Drosophila melanogaster: one gene and its partners. The protein of the gene in region 1 interacts with the protein of each later gene in a biochemical or structural test. Each region holds a gene or a part of one and is shown on either strand. Other genes may lie near its edges.

Evidence for each region.
Region 2: of the proteins of Rac1 (region 1) and pbl, one has a biochemical effect on the other in vitro, tested with the Drosophila melanogaster proteins (one study listed by BioGRID).
Region 3: of the proteins of Rac1 (region 1) and RhoGAP100F, one has a biochemical effect on the other in vitro, tested with the Drosophila melanogaster proteins (one study listed by BioGRID).

Annotation. Positions count from the first base shown.
Region 1 is NT_037436.4:1,300,361-1,304,682, forward strand, and holds Rac1 (Rac1), read right to left. Parts: upstream 2,324-4,322; 5' UTR 1,987-2,323; coding exon 1,408-1,986; 3' UTR 519-1,407; downstream 1-518. Other genes in the region: Acat2 (Acetyl-CoA acetyltransferase 2), read left to right, coding at 2,691-2,733, 2,828-2,949, 3,021-3,133, 3,188-3,617, 3,678-3,863, 3,920-4,204. UniProt on the Drosophila melanogaster protein: During various developmental processes, regulates changes in cell morphology in response to extracellular signals.
Region 2 is NT_037436.4:7,908,898-7,913,542, forward strand, and holds the start of pbl (pebble), read right to left. Parts: upstream 3,058-4,645; 5' UTR 2,562-3,057; coding exon 2,525-2,561; intron 442-2,524; coding exon of another isoform or gene 264-441; intron 1-263. Other genes in the region: CG8281 (uncharacterized protein), read left to right, coding at 3,710-4,645.
Region 3 is NT_033777.3:31,811,036-31,815,665, reverse strand, and holds the start of RhoGAP100F (Rho GTPase activating protein at 100F), read right to left. Parts: upstream 3,058-4,630; 5' UTR 1,840-3,057; intron 1-1,839. Other genes in the region: FeCH (ferrochelatase), read left to right, coding at 3,456-3,492, 3,547-3,925, 4,188-4,289, 4,345-4,630. UniProt on the Drosophila melanogaster protein: GTPase activator for the Rho-type GTPases by converting them to an inactive GDP-bound state. Promotes the anchoring of Liprin-alpha clusters at synapses. Recruits and keeps Nrx-1 levels high in active zones in the presynapse opposite the postsynaptic region.

The DNA of each region.
Region 1 (4,322 bases):
AATAAAATGCTTTTATTCTATTTACTTCTATATATTTATATTTTATTTTCATGCTAACCATAAATACTTCTTTCTCGGTGTAGAACCAGAAGTGAGGAGCTCCGGGAATCGGTTATTTTGTTTCAAGCTGATTTAGATTATTTTCGGTTCTCGACTTTCGCCGAGATAAGCAAAATAATTCGTTCTTCGGCGTTGATAAGTCTGTCTCCGTTGTGGGTACAGTGAGCACTCGAGCGAGGGCCAATGTCGGCCATTGACGAATGGAGTTTGATAAACAATCAAGAATATTTGAATGCGTGAGCTATGTAAGTAAGTATATGTGCTGGTGCTGCGAAGATCTTGGAGAAGAAAAGAGCACTCAGATATCTTTTCGATGAGTGATTCGACTTAGCTAAAACTAGTTTTACGCTCTTTCCCACTCATAGTTCCCTAATATGCGCAGATCGTTTTCTAGTATTCACTACATATGATATGTCAGAAGAATATAAGAAACATATCACAATAAATAAACCAAAACTCCTTTTATTATGCTTTATTGATTTCCATTGAAATAGACACATTTATATAATTATCTTGGCTTCGTTCATGTTTTTTGTTTTTCTTTTGTTTCTTGAATATCTGTCGTTTAAAATACAAAGTATTCAAAGTTGCTCAGTTTGATGCCTTTAATTCAGTACATAGTATACGAAGGACTTTTCATCTTATACATACATGTATATATATTGATAGTTCCTGGATCTAGCAAAAGTTTAAAAAGTTGTTACTCGCCCGCGCCGTCGCTTCGATATCCAACAACATCTAAATACAAGTATGTAATAATGTAAGTGTAATTGCAATGGAACGTTTACTTTACTGACTCAATATCCTGATCCCTTCCGCAGGACCTTCGATCAACATCTATGCGACATCTATGCTTTATGCTCATTATGCGGCTATTCTCGTACTTGTCTCACATTTTTTTTAGGTTTTTCGTTTGTTTTTTTTTTTTTGTTTTGTTTTGTTTTTGGTTTTACCTCAGTTTTACAACATTAATTTTAATTACAAAAGTTATTAAATAATACAAAATACAGTTAGAGTTTACAGTTCTCCATTTCGTCTAGAAACATCTCGCTTTTAACTTTTAGTTGAAATTAATGCACGAATAAACAGAATAATTGGATTATGAATTACAGAACACTCGAAACAAACTCAGAACTCGGAAACGAAACAAAAGCAAGAGTTGGGTTGGGTTGGGTTGGGGGAATCCCCCCCTAGCAGCGGAAATTAGTGGCAAAATTGTAACAAAGAAACTACGGATGAGCCATTTAGCCTGGCCACGCTTAGGTTACATAATGGTTTTATAGTTAATAATATTACGTTTAAGCAGAGTCCGTCGGTGGAACACCACCGACCAACTGTCTAACTCTTTTAGAGCAGGGCGCACTTGCGCTTGGACTTGGGCTGCAGCACGGGGCACAAAACCGACCGGATGGCCTCGTCGAAAACGGTTTTCAGACCCTTCTGCGTCAGGGCCGAGCACTCCAGATACTTGACCGCTCCGATTTCCTTGGCCATGGCCAGGCCCTGCGGATAGGTGATGGGCGCCAGTTTCTTGTCCCTCAGCTTTTCGATTGTGTTCTTGTCGTCGCGCAAATCCAGCTTGGTGCCCACCAGGATGATGGGCGTGCTGGGGCAGTGGTGGCGCACCTCCGGATACCACTTGGCCCGCACGTTCTCGAACGATGCCGGATTCACCAGCGAGAAGCAGATGAGGAAGACATCGGTCTGGGGATAAGACAGTGGCCTCAGTCGGTCGTAGTCCTCCTGCCCGGCCGTATCCCACAGGCCCAGGTTGATGGGCTTGGCGTCCACCATCACGTTGGCCGAGTAGTTGTCGAACACGGTGGGTATGTACTCGCCGGGAAAGGCATTGGTCGTGTAGCTGATCAGCAGGCAGGTCTTTCCCACGGCTCCGTCGCCCACGACGACGCACTTGATCGCCTGCATGGTTCGATTTCCTCGACTTTCTGGACTGGAGTGCTATGTGCCTAGAGATTGGAGATTGAAGATTGCAGATTTCTGATTGCGGGGGTGCTTCTTCTTCAGGCGTTTTTGGTTCTTTTTGGGGCGGCGGCGGAGGACTGTTGCTTGCGTGGGTCCTTTTGCGGGGTTATCTCTGGAAGCGCGACTCCTTTTCCAGTGCCTTGTGGTCCTCGGGGCGACTGATGATCGCGCCTTACGTTCTGGGCCTCTTTAACTCGCGTTTTGTGCGTTAATTTCCCTAATTTTCTCAACAAAAAAAGTAAATTTTCTGTGTACTGCAGTGTGACCGCGGCTGGACTGTTCAAATTTACCATGGGAAAGCTGTAAAATACTAAAACAAATTAAAACTGCATTGAAATGGTCACCCTAAGATTTGTAAATTATTTCAAGGCTTCGTCCTTAAAGCAAACATAAAACCCTTAAGTTTCGCATTTACTTATAATTAAATCCGAATTACAAAATATATAATTTCATTGTCTTCCTGTTTATGTCAGTGATTTGAAGTGAGAACAAGCTGTTTTTAGTAGGGCTGGGCCCCAGAAGTGCAGCTTCTGGGCTTTGGCTGCACCTGGTCACACTTCTGGCAGCAAATAATACAATTTCGAAAATTAGAATTTATTTGCTGCTCAATAGCCAAGTCAATAACACCTGTTCCTTGCCCATCCAGAATGTCTGACGTGTTCATCGTGTCCGCCGCCCGCACGCCCATTGGTAAAACCAAGATAAATCGGCTGCACCATACACGATAACCACATTCTAATTGGAAACTTTCTCTTCGTGTTTGTCCAATCTGAAAAATCAACAGGTAGCTTCAATGGAACGCTTTCTAAACTGAAGGCCTCCGACCTGGGCAGCGTGGTCATCCAGGAGGTACTCCGGCGGGCGAATGTGGAGGGCCAGGAGGTCAACGAAGTCATCTTGGGCCAGGTGGGACCCATATCATAACTGTTTCTCCTCCTATCTTACCGATCTATTTGTTATGTAAATATCTTTGTTAGGCTCTAAGCGCCGGTCAGGGTCAGAATCCAGCACGTCAGGCTTCACTCAAGGCGGGTCTGCCCATTCAGGTGCCAGCCTACGGCATAAACATGCTATGTGGTTCCGGCTTAAAGTGAGTTTGTCCCGTACAATTCCGTACATTTACAATGGTTTTTACCATTTCCAGAACTGTAGCGCTGGGTTACCAGGCCATCCGCTCGGGAGACGCACAGATTGTTGTGGCAGGAGGTCAGGAGAGCATGTCCCTGGCTCCACACGTCATGCATCTGCGGCAGGGCGTCAAAATGGGTCCGGGCACTATGGTGGACTCGATGATCCACGACGGCCTAACCGATGCCATGGAGAACATACACATGGGCATCACTGCCGAGAATCTGGCCGATAAGTATAACATCAGTCGTGAGGCCCAGGATGCCTATGCCGTGCTGTCGCAAAATCGAGCCGAGGAGGCCCAAAAAAAGGGTTACTTCGACAAGGAGATTGTGCCCGTGGAGATCAAGGATCGCAAGGGTACGACCACATTCAGCAAGGATGAGTACATCAAGGCGGGCAGCACCGTCGAGGGTATACAGAAGCTCAGGGCAGCCTTCAAAGAGGTGGGTCTAAGATAAATACAAGAAGAGCGAGAGTTAACCCACTTTCTCTTGCTTATGTAGGGCGGCTCTATAACCGCTGGCAATGCCTCAGGCGTCAACGACTCCGCTGCTGCCGTACTACTGATGTCCGGCGAGGAGGTGGCCAGGAAGGGTCTTAAGCCGCTGGCTAGGATTGTGGGCTGGACTCAGAGTGGCATTGAGCCAAAGGTGATGGGACTGGGACCAGTCACAGCTGTGGAAGCATTGGTAGTTACACGGAAATTCCACTTCTATACATGCTCCTAAGTTTTCACATTTTTCAGCTTCAAAAGATTAACTGGAAGCGTGAGGAAGTGGATCTTTACGAGCTGAACGAAGCATTCGCCGCCCAATCACTGGCTGTCCTGCAGGACCTGCAGCTGGATGCTCAGAAAGTAAATGTCAATGGCGGTGCCATTGCCCTGGGCCACCCGATTGGAGCTTCAGGTGCCCGTGTCTTGGTCACTTTGCTCTATGCGCTGGAGCGCACCGGTGGAAGAAAGGGAATCGCATCGCTCTGCATCGGTGGCGGCATGGGAATCGCCCTGGCCGTGGAGCGCCTCAGCTAGTCTTAATTCATTGTCATTCAAGCTATTTATTGCCTTTTCCTGTTTCCCACTTAAGTGTAAAGTTTATTTCTCTATTCGCGTAGTATTCGCACGTACTTAAAGGCACAACCTCCCAAGT
Region 2 (4,645 bases), 6.6 Mb from region 1:
ATTTAAATCAATATCACCTTAACATGACATCGAATGCTTTCCTCGGAAAGTAATATATTTATTTATGAAATACATAGTTATTTTTACTGTTCCTGCACCTTTCCCAGGTGTTTGTCGATGGTCTGGCTGAATGGATGGATGATTCACGAAAGACTTTACCCTACTTAAGTTTCCCTCTGGCGAATATGTTGCTCTTGCTTTTGCGCATATTCAACCCTTGGAAACGAGTACCTGAAGGGGTTTATCTGGGAATCTTGAAATACCTGTAAAATCCTCGTACACCTGACACAAGGCGGCCTGTCGAAGCTTCGCCTGTTTGACCTCCTCGTCGGCGGCATATGTGAAATAGGAGGCGGATTGTCGCTGAACCGTGACCACTTTGTTGCTCTTTTTGCCCAAATGGTTGCCAAAGTTGAACTGCACCAGCGGTAAGTGTAACATTTTGTTCGCAGATCCTCAAGGATCGGGCTCTAAAACATAACTAAATGCAAGACGAGCTCAGGCTGAGGGAACACCTGAAATCGCATTTTGCATGGCCACAGGTGGTAGCTTCTTCGGTTCAAACAAGAAGAAGAAGGTATGTAAGTGAGGTCAGGAGAAAAGGTAAACGCAAAATGGTAAGCAAAATTTCCGAGTGTGAGAAAGTGCCGAGACTCACAGGTGGCGGCCACCATTTTTCGCCATTCGGGAATTTCCTTCCTTTTTGCCCGAACAAAATCCGCTGTTGTTATTTATTTTCTACTTTTCCTCGCTGGCTGCCTGCCAGGGAAACGATGAAAAACTAATTGAGTGGCATCTGAGAAATGAAAAGCCATCGGAAGAAGAGGGCTGTGTGTGTGGGTTTCTGGGCATTCAGCCACGCAGCGAAAAATGTCCTATGCGAAATCATAGTTAACCCAAAATGACAATTTTTGATTTTTACTTAAATTCTCGTGTCTATTGCTTTTGACCTAGACCTAAAAGCATTTTTAAGTGACAATGAAATCCAAAAATAAAATATTTTATGTAAAAAAATTGTGTTTTAAACGAAAGACGTTTTGTAATTTTGGAATAATATTTAGAAAATTACTTTAAATCTCTAGAAAAAAAAACCTCAGTTTACCTGCAAGTTTAAATTATACATAAAATCAACCAATTTCTCGCTGTGTAGCGGATTTTGTCAAATAGCAGAGCAGAGTCATCAAAGAAAAATCTTGTAATAAAATTACGTACGTATCCCGCGGAAGCCTTGACGTAGGCGAAGAGCAGATTCCGAAGGTCTGCGGGCCATGTAAAATGCCATTAGCATTGAGGGACGGAAAACACGGACTACAGGCTATATAGTCATAGTTGTATGGGCATGTGCGCCCTGTCAACATGTGTAAATGGAATACGAGGTAATCGGCCAGCGGGGTAGGTAAACCACCCGGAAAGCAAGGATCAAGGATTCTGTGCAACAAGAGGAGGAAGTAGAAGGAGCGAAGAGCCTGTCGAGCAGGATAAATTCTTCTTCTTACCTGGCGGCAAGTATTAGAGCGGAGCAGACAGAATAAGTACACAAAGATATCATGTAGAGTTGATTTCAAAAGTATCTACATACATATGCACATTTAAAGGCTAAATAACATCAAAGGAGAATTGATTTTATAACCTAACCAAATTATAAACTTTTAATTGATATATGCTTTATTTGCGCCTCAAATTCGGACACAAAATACATTAAATGATAATTTTATTTGTTTATGCCGCGCGCTGGAAAAATTCCTGCCGTACAACATATTTACACGTATTTTTTAAGGCAATAACCTTTGAAATTGTGTGGTATTTGCAGTTACACGTTCTCGTTGCGGAAATCGTAGGCTTATGGAAAGTATAACAATTTTAATTGCCTAGAAACAATTTTGTTTTTAGTTAAATAAAAATGTTAAAAATATAATAAAAACTTTATAGCAGAGATTTCTCTTTCCCATCAATACCTAAATCTATCTTTTGTTAATTGTTTACTTTTTTAAGATTCGATAGTTTCTTGTTTACTTTCTTTTATAGCTACAACTCCATGGCTAAAAACGGCTGAATTCGCATCAATGATAACAGGAACTGATCGCTTAAATTGTTGTTGCTTGTCCTTTCTTTTTACTCTCACAACAGTTAGGGCGCCTCAGTTGTTGTTGTTGTTCTTGCTGTCGGTACAGTGTCGCCGAAGAGAGGGAGAGTGAGGGGAAACGATGATGAAGAGAGGGAGGCATTTCGCATTTATGCGATAAATATTTTCTACACCGAAATAAATTCAGAAAAAAAGATTAAAATATCTGCGACACGATGCCGTTGCTTTTTTAGTCACACAAATACACACAAAGATGTACTTATAGTCGTTGTTATTTCATTTTATTTTTTTGCATTTGCTGGCAGCGACATTTTTTATGAGGATCTTTTGGCCCCGAATGTGGTTTTACCCCGTACCCAACCCCTTTGGGCGACATTGAAAAATGATAAATTCGCCGGCCATTTGGAGCTGCCACGCCCCGCGCCCTCTTTCAGTACTCACCGCACTTCGATTGCTCTTCAATGGTCTCCATTTCCATGGATCTTCTGCAGTTACTTTTTTAAGGCGAACAACTCGTGGAACATACACAAAAACACACACCAACAGAACTCGAAACACAATAGAACGAACGCACAAGGAGACAAATAATTCGTTTGTACTCGATTCGTTTACTTTCATTAACTGGACGCTGTTTTCATGCATTTAGCGCGCATCATTTCCATGTTTGTTTGTTTTTCTACTTTTTGTTACAATTTATTTATTATTTAATTAAAAAGCGGCGGCTCACGAAAACACACACACACAGACGCGCATAGGCAGCGTCGCCCGGTTCTTCGTCCTCTTGTTAGCGATACCGCGTACCTGCTTTAGCAATTTAACCAACAAAATGATCAACAATGTAAGCGAATTGCGCTCAACGGCTGCGCGTCGGAATCACAAATCAAAACTCAACGGACAAACGCGTCTGTTTCGAATTTTTTTCGCTGTAGTGTGCCGCGCAGTGTAACCGTCGCGGGGGCGCCAAGAAATACGCGCAAATGTGATGAACGAAATACCAGAATCAATCGGCGCTAAATAATGGTCACACTTGCAAGGGGTTGAAGGTATTCCCTGTAATGCTATATAACTAAATTAAACGACTATGGCTATAAAATAGTTGTAAGCTGCACTATATTAACAATCAATTAGAACTGTTTTCTTCGTTTAAGTTGTTTTTGGCCTGTCGATAAATTAAATTTGGTAATATCCTACTATTGTTGCAGTTGTAGCCTCCAATCATATTTTTCATGCAAGCTATATAAGCTACAGTTAATTTTATGTATGCTTGCTCATATATTTAATAAATGAATGCCTAAAACTACTTGCTTTTGTGCTACTTTGTTTAAATATACGCGCTTGATAACAACGAGTTGACCGATAAATACTGCTGGCGAAGTATCGATACCAGTGACAAGCATTGCCACTACGTCCGCACTTGTTGCTGTATCTTCACGCTCACGCACACTCGCACACAACCATTACGTCAATATGGCAAACAATCTGTCAAACGCGCAATTACAACAAACACAGTTCGTTCGCATTGACAGTTGGTCAATAGGTCCATCCAGGATTCGCTGAAGTGGTGAAGATAGCCAAGGACTGCAGCTGGCGTGGATTGGCAGAGGGTAATCCAGAGATCCGCGCAAAATGCTGCCACAAACGCCGCCGCACGGATTGAAGGTGATGTCGGGAGCGGAGGAGAACCGACACTATCTGCGCGCCTTCATCCAGACATACAGGGATCTGCCCGTGCTGTGGGACACATCGCTGCGGGACTACACCAATCGGGAGAAGCGGGCGGAGGCCTATTTGCGCCTGGTGCCCATATACCATTATCTCAAGCGGGACGCCACCGTGGAGGATGTGAAAAAGAAGATCAACACACTGCGCACGAACTACCGCAAGGAGCTGAAGGTGGTGGAGAGTGCCCTGCGATCGGGCAGCCTCCACAGTCCACGCTGCTGGACCTTTCAGGAGCTGGACTTTCTGCGCAACTCGGAGAAGTTTCTAGCCGTCAATCCCGCCTTTAAGAACGAGCCCAACTTCGCCTTCGGTGAGAGCAGCAATTGCCCGAGTGCGTTTCTGGAGAGCCAGGGAGCAGCCCTCCATTATCCAGCACCACGCGCTGGTGGTCAGACGCCCAACATTTCCGAGATGTTTCACAAATCATTTGGAGCTCCGCCACCGCCACCGCCAGCAACCAACCATGTGGATTATGGGAGCAGCAAGCGAGCCAGGCAAACGCCGCCATGTACGGGAGCAGGAGCCGGATCTACTGGCGGTCCTGGGGCAACAGGCACCGCCCACAACACCGACGAACTACTCAACATAGCCTGCGAGTATTTGGCTGGCACATATCCGGAGGAGGAGTCCATCGCCCGCACCTGGACGCACAAACTGAAGCGACTGCCGCGCGAGCAGCGTCTTCTGGCCGAACGTTTCATCAACGAGATTCTCTTCGAGGCCGAGTCCAACAATCTGCATCGCGGATCTGTGCAAATCAACAACAGCTTCGAACCCTACGTTCGCTACGAAGAAACGCCAAATGGTCACGAGGAGCAGGACAAATCACAGAGCCCCAGT
Region 3 (4,630 bases), on another chromosome or scaffold:
CATCAGAATCCAAATATTACGAAATTGTCATAAATAGTGAAAACCGAATTTAATAAGATATCGATATGAATTTTAAACTTTAAAATTATTTTTACTTGAGGCAGTGCTACAATGACGACAGGCAGATTTATCGATTTCCCTCTTTGGGCTCAGTTGTAACCCCATCATGGCATTATTTGGTTTGGTATGGTTATTGCTGCGTTGAAGTTTATCCACAACGCCACATCCCCATGAGTCCCTTTTCCACACTTTGACTGGTTAGTAGCACCCGACAAAGGAATATACATCGAAAGAAGAAACACAGACCCACCACTGGGGACCGTCGGACCCTAACCCGCAAACCCACCATCCCACCCACACCCACTGGGCTTTGCCGCACGCTCATGCGACTGCACACCCACTGAGGCAAAAAAAGGATACTCTTTCTTTTAGAAGTTATATTTATCGGCTCAGCTTATAATTGTAACGCGAAAAGGCCCCACAACTGACTCGCAGCTCTTGACAACCGATATTACGATCATTTACTTTTCAGATCGGATCCCATTATCTGCATGGTAAAACCCCAATTTTCAGTGCAGTCGCTTCGCGCCATGTGGTCCTTTCTGCCGGTGCTCAGCTGACTCACCTGACGACTGTGCAACATGCCACCAGCAACCCGCAACTAGAAACTCGCAACTCCGAATTTGGAGCTCCCAACTCGCCATTTGGACGACGGATAGAAGTCGCATTAAAATGCCAAAAATATGCTCGAAACCATAAAAACTAGCAAAGTTGCGGGGAAACTGTGAATTTATCTAATTAGTGAGGGCAGAATCAAAAAGATGGAATTATGGCTGCACAGAATGGAAGTCGCCATCCACATGTTGTATTACAGCTCGGCTTATACCACACACATAAGGACCAAACAAAATAATATGCAATTTTAAAAATAACTTTCTGTTTAAAGATTTTCTATATGTGAACAATACTGCCTTAAAATAAGTTAATAAATAACAACGTAAATTAATACAACAAAAAGTACCAAGCGATTTTAATGGTCTCTATGGAAATCCATTTTTGGCTACCGTAAGAGGCTTGCTATCATTTTTTTTATACAAGGGGCTTTAGTTCTAACATAAAATTAAGATAGTTGTGCGGCTCAGCTTTTTTAAATTATTTGTATGGTATGGGGCTCCACACAAAGTTCTCTGTTTGCTGGTAAATTGGAGCAAAGCTTTTAGCTTGGGGGTAGTTTGGCGGACTGAAGGGGCGATTCGGGGTGTAAAAAGTTATGGGGGCTTTGAGCATAAAAAGCGTCCAAACAAGATTTTTGATTGTTAATGTCGCGGTAAATGTTTTGCTTTCTGTTCCTCTCACCTAGTCGTATATATCCTAGATCTTCATCTCTTGTGTGTAATAGAGGAGATCTTGAAATAATTTGCTGCTGGAATAGACACCGCTTATATTACATTTGCTCGAATTGATTTGACGATATGCCATGTTTTCTTACGATTAAATTGGAACCTCCACCTCCAATGACTACAATGAATGATGATAGCCTATCAGAAGACGTTTCCTTTTCTTTCAAAAGGTTTTTAGTAAAAGGCAAAATAACGCTAACCAACAAAGCATTAGAAGTTCTGGAAACAGGATTTGTTTTAACAGAAAATTGCGCATAATCACACTTGCCACAAATGATCGCTTATTCGAGTTGTGGGAGCCTTATCAAGCACAGCCGAATTTGATAGCGACAAGGTCATTTCCTATGATGGACTTTTCACCCTTCAAATAGTTTTTTAATTAACTAAATGCATAGCCGCCAGTGAGTTTCCTGGATAGGTCCCTTTGTTGAAAACTCACCTGCACTGTGGAACTGCGTTTCTCCTGACGTCCTAATGCTTGACGTTTTGCGTCTAATCCGTGCCAACGGCTACTGCCCAAGTTATGAAAACGTGAGATCACAAATTGCAAGGGACAACTGGGGTCGGGTTGAAGAGGGGCGGAGGTATGGGAGTGGGCTAGTTGCAGTCACCGGTCGTAAATGTGTGCCGCGTTGTGAAAAGGATGCACTTGCTCTCTATGGTAGCTCTCTCTTGCTCTCTCTTTTTCTCTAAAAATGTCTATCTCTTTCGCTCGCTAGCGTTACCTTTTATTTCGGCTTTGATTGGTTTTAATTTCCGCTGAAGCTGCTTTTACTTCCGGGGCAGTAAGAATGCGAATGCAAAATGCAATTGGCTAGGTGCAGGTTTTTGTTGTTAGAGACTTATCGCTGATTCGGTGGTCAATGGCTTGGGATTTTGAGAAGCAGTACATCCTTGCAGCCTCTCTTTGCTCCTTTCTGCACCGTCTTTCGTTGCCTTTCGTTTCGTTTCACACTTTCGTCGCATTCACGGCATCCCATGCAACTTTTTTGCTGCGGCATTTTTTGCGTAACTTGTGAGATAATTTCAACATGTTTTTGGTTCCCGGAAAAGGTGCAATTTATTTTTTGGCCTTTTCATTGATCTGTGCGCGAGAGTGCTTGCGGGCGCGGTGTGTGGGCTCGCGGCAGGCGGGTGTGAGAGTGTGTGGGTGGTGCGGGGAACCCGTAGCGGAATGCGTCCGTGTGGCAGCGCGAAGCTTTCGCAACTATGCGAATTTCCTGAGTAGGAATTTCAGTATAATAAAATATCCTGTTCCTCTTCTAAGTCGAGAAAGAGAGCAAGAGAGCGCTAGTTATTCTGCGCGTGCGCCACGAATTGGAGCACTTTAATGCTGGTGGCGATAACACGGACATGGACACATCACCAATACTCGCGCACGTACACCCACCACCGCGGTGGAACTCCTTCCCTCTCACTCACTCCAAAACTTCCTACGTTTTTTTCACTGTGCTGCGCCGCTTGTCCTTTTGCTTTTCTCCGATGTTAAACGACACTTTCGGTTGTTTTTCAAGCTTTCTTATCTTTTCGGACCATGGGCCGCGCCTTTTATTGCGTTTTTACGAAGCAATTGTGCCTGCATTCGGTGGAAAAACTACAAAATATTATTTGATCGGAGGAAACGAAACACTCGCAGCAAGCGACGAGAGCGAAATGCAGCGTGCAAGAGCGAGACTGCACCACAGTCAGCTTTTACCGTTGCACGCAGCGTTGATGACAAGGGAAAGAAATAAGGACGCATGCGCGAAAAATTTCTGTTGGTCGCTTGAAGAACAGTATATACCAAATATTGGTTTCGGTTTCAATAAAGAGAAATTAAATGGTAAATGTGTAACAAAAGGAAAAATTTTTAAATATTTAGATTACTGTTGAGTAATAGTTGGCAGCTATTTTACACACATAGATGGCGTGACGGTTACTTTTTACAGAACTCTGTTACGTTTGGAAAAACTCTAGAATCTGTGAGATCATACATTTTGGTATTTAAACTATTTTAGCAACTGGTAACACTATTCGACACCGGTGCCATCAATTTGGGTCAATTTAAAAGGAACTATGTTTTTGCATAACACAAAGTTTTGCAGACTGGCAAGTGAGTATACGAGTGGATACAGTTCCCACGACATTCCTACATATTCCCCAACAGGTGGTCTGGCAGGAGGAGTGCGCAACCTGAGCGGCCAAAAACCGAAGACCGCGATCCTAATGCTGAACATGGGCGGTCCGACCCACACGGACCAGGTGCATGACTACCTCCTGCGTATTATGACCGACCGGGACATGATCCAGCTGCCGGTGCAGAGCCGTCTTGGTCCGTGGATCGCCCAGCGCAGGACGCCCGAGGTACAGAAGAAGTACAAGGAGATCGGCGGTGGTTCACCGATTCTTAAGTGGACCGAGCTGCAGGGCCAGCTCATGTGCGAGCAGTTGGACAGAATCTCCCCGGAGACAGCACCTCACAAGCACTACGTCGGTTTCCGCTACGTGAATCCCCTCACTGAGAACACGCTGGCCGAGATCGAAAAGTGAGTGTAGTCGAGAAGTAGAACAAGAGTGATGTAAATAATCCGAAGGTCGTGAAATTGACCTATATATATTGCTACGGACTCTCACAATAAGATATGTTCTAGTAAATAAGTTTGTATAGACTTCTGACTTCTTATGCATGTTTCAATGTCCTGCTATTATCAGTTGACTTCTTGGACAAATTACTGAAACCTAAACCTGGAAATTATGGTCATTTGCGCTACTTAAAGAATACATGTTAATATTTTAACATATTTACAGGGACAAACCAGAGCGCGTTGTACTCTTTTCACAATATCCACAGTACAGCTGCGCCACCTCCGGATCCAGCTTTAACTCCATATTTACTCATTATCGGAGCAAGTGAGTTAGAAATGCACAATTGCAGCTATTTATTTGATCCCCTCTACCTCTTTAGTAATCTGCCCTCGGATATCAAATGGAGCATTATCGACAGGTGGGGCACTCATCCACTTCTAATCAAAACGTTTGCCCAGCGAATTCGCGACGAGCTGGCCAAATTTGTGGAAACGAAACGAAATGATGTGGTCATCCTCTTCACTGCCCACTCCCTTCCCCTTAAGGCTGTGAACCGGGGTGACGCGTATCCCTCGGAGATTGGTGCTAGCGTACACATGGTGATGCAGGAACTTGGTCAGACGAATCCCTACAGCCTGGCATGGCAATCCAAGGTGGGCCCGCTA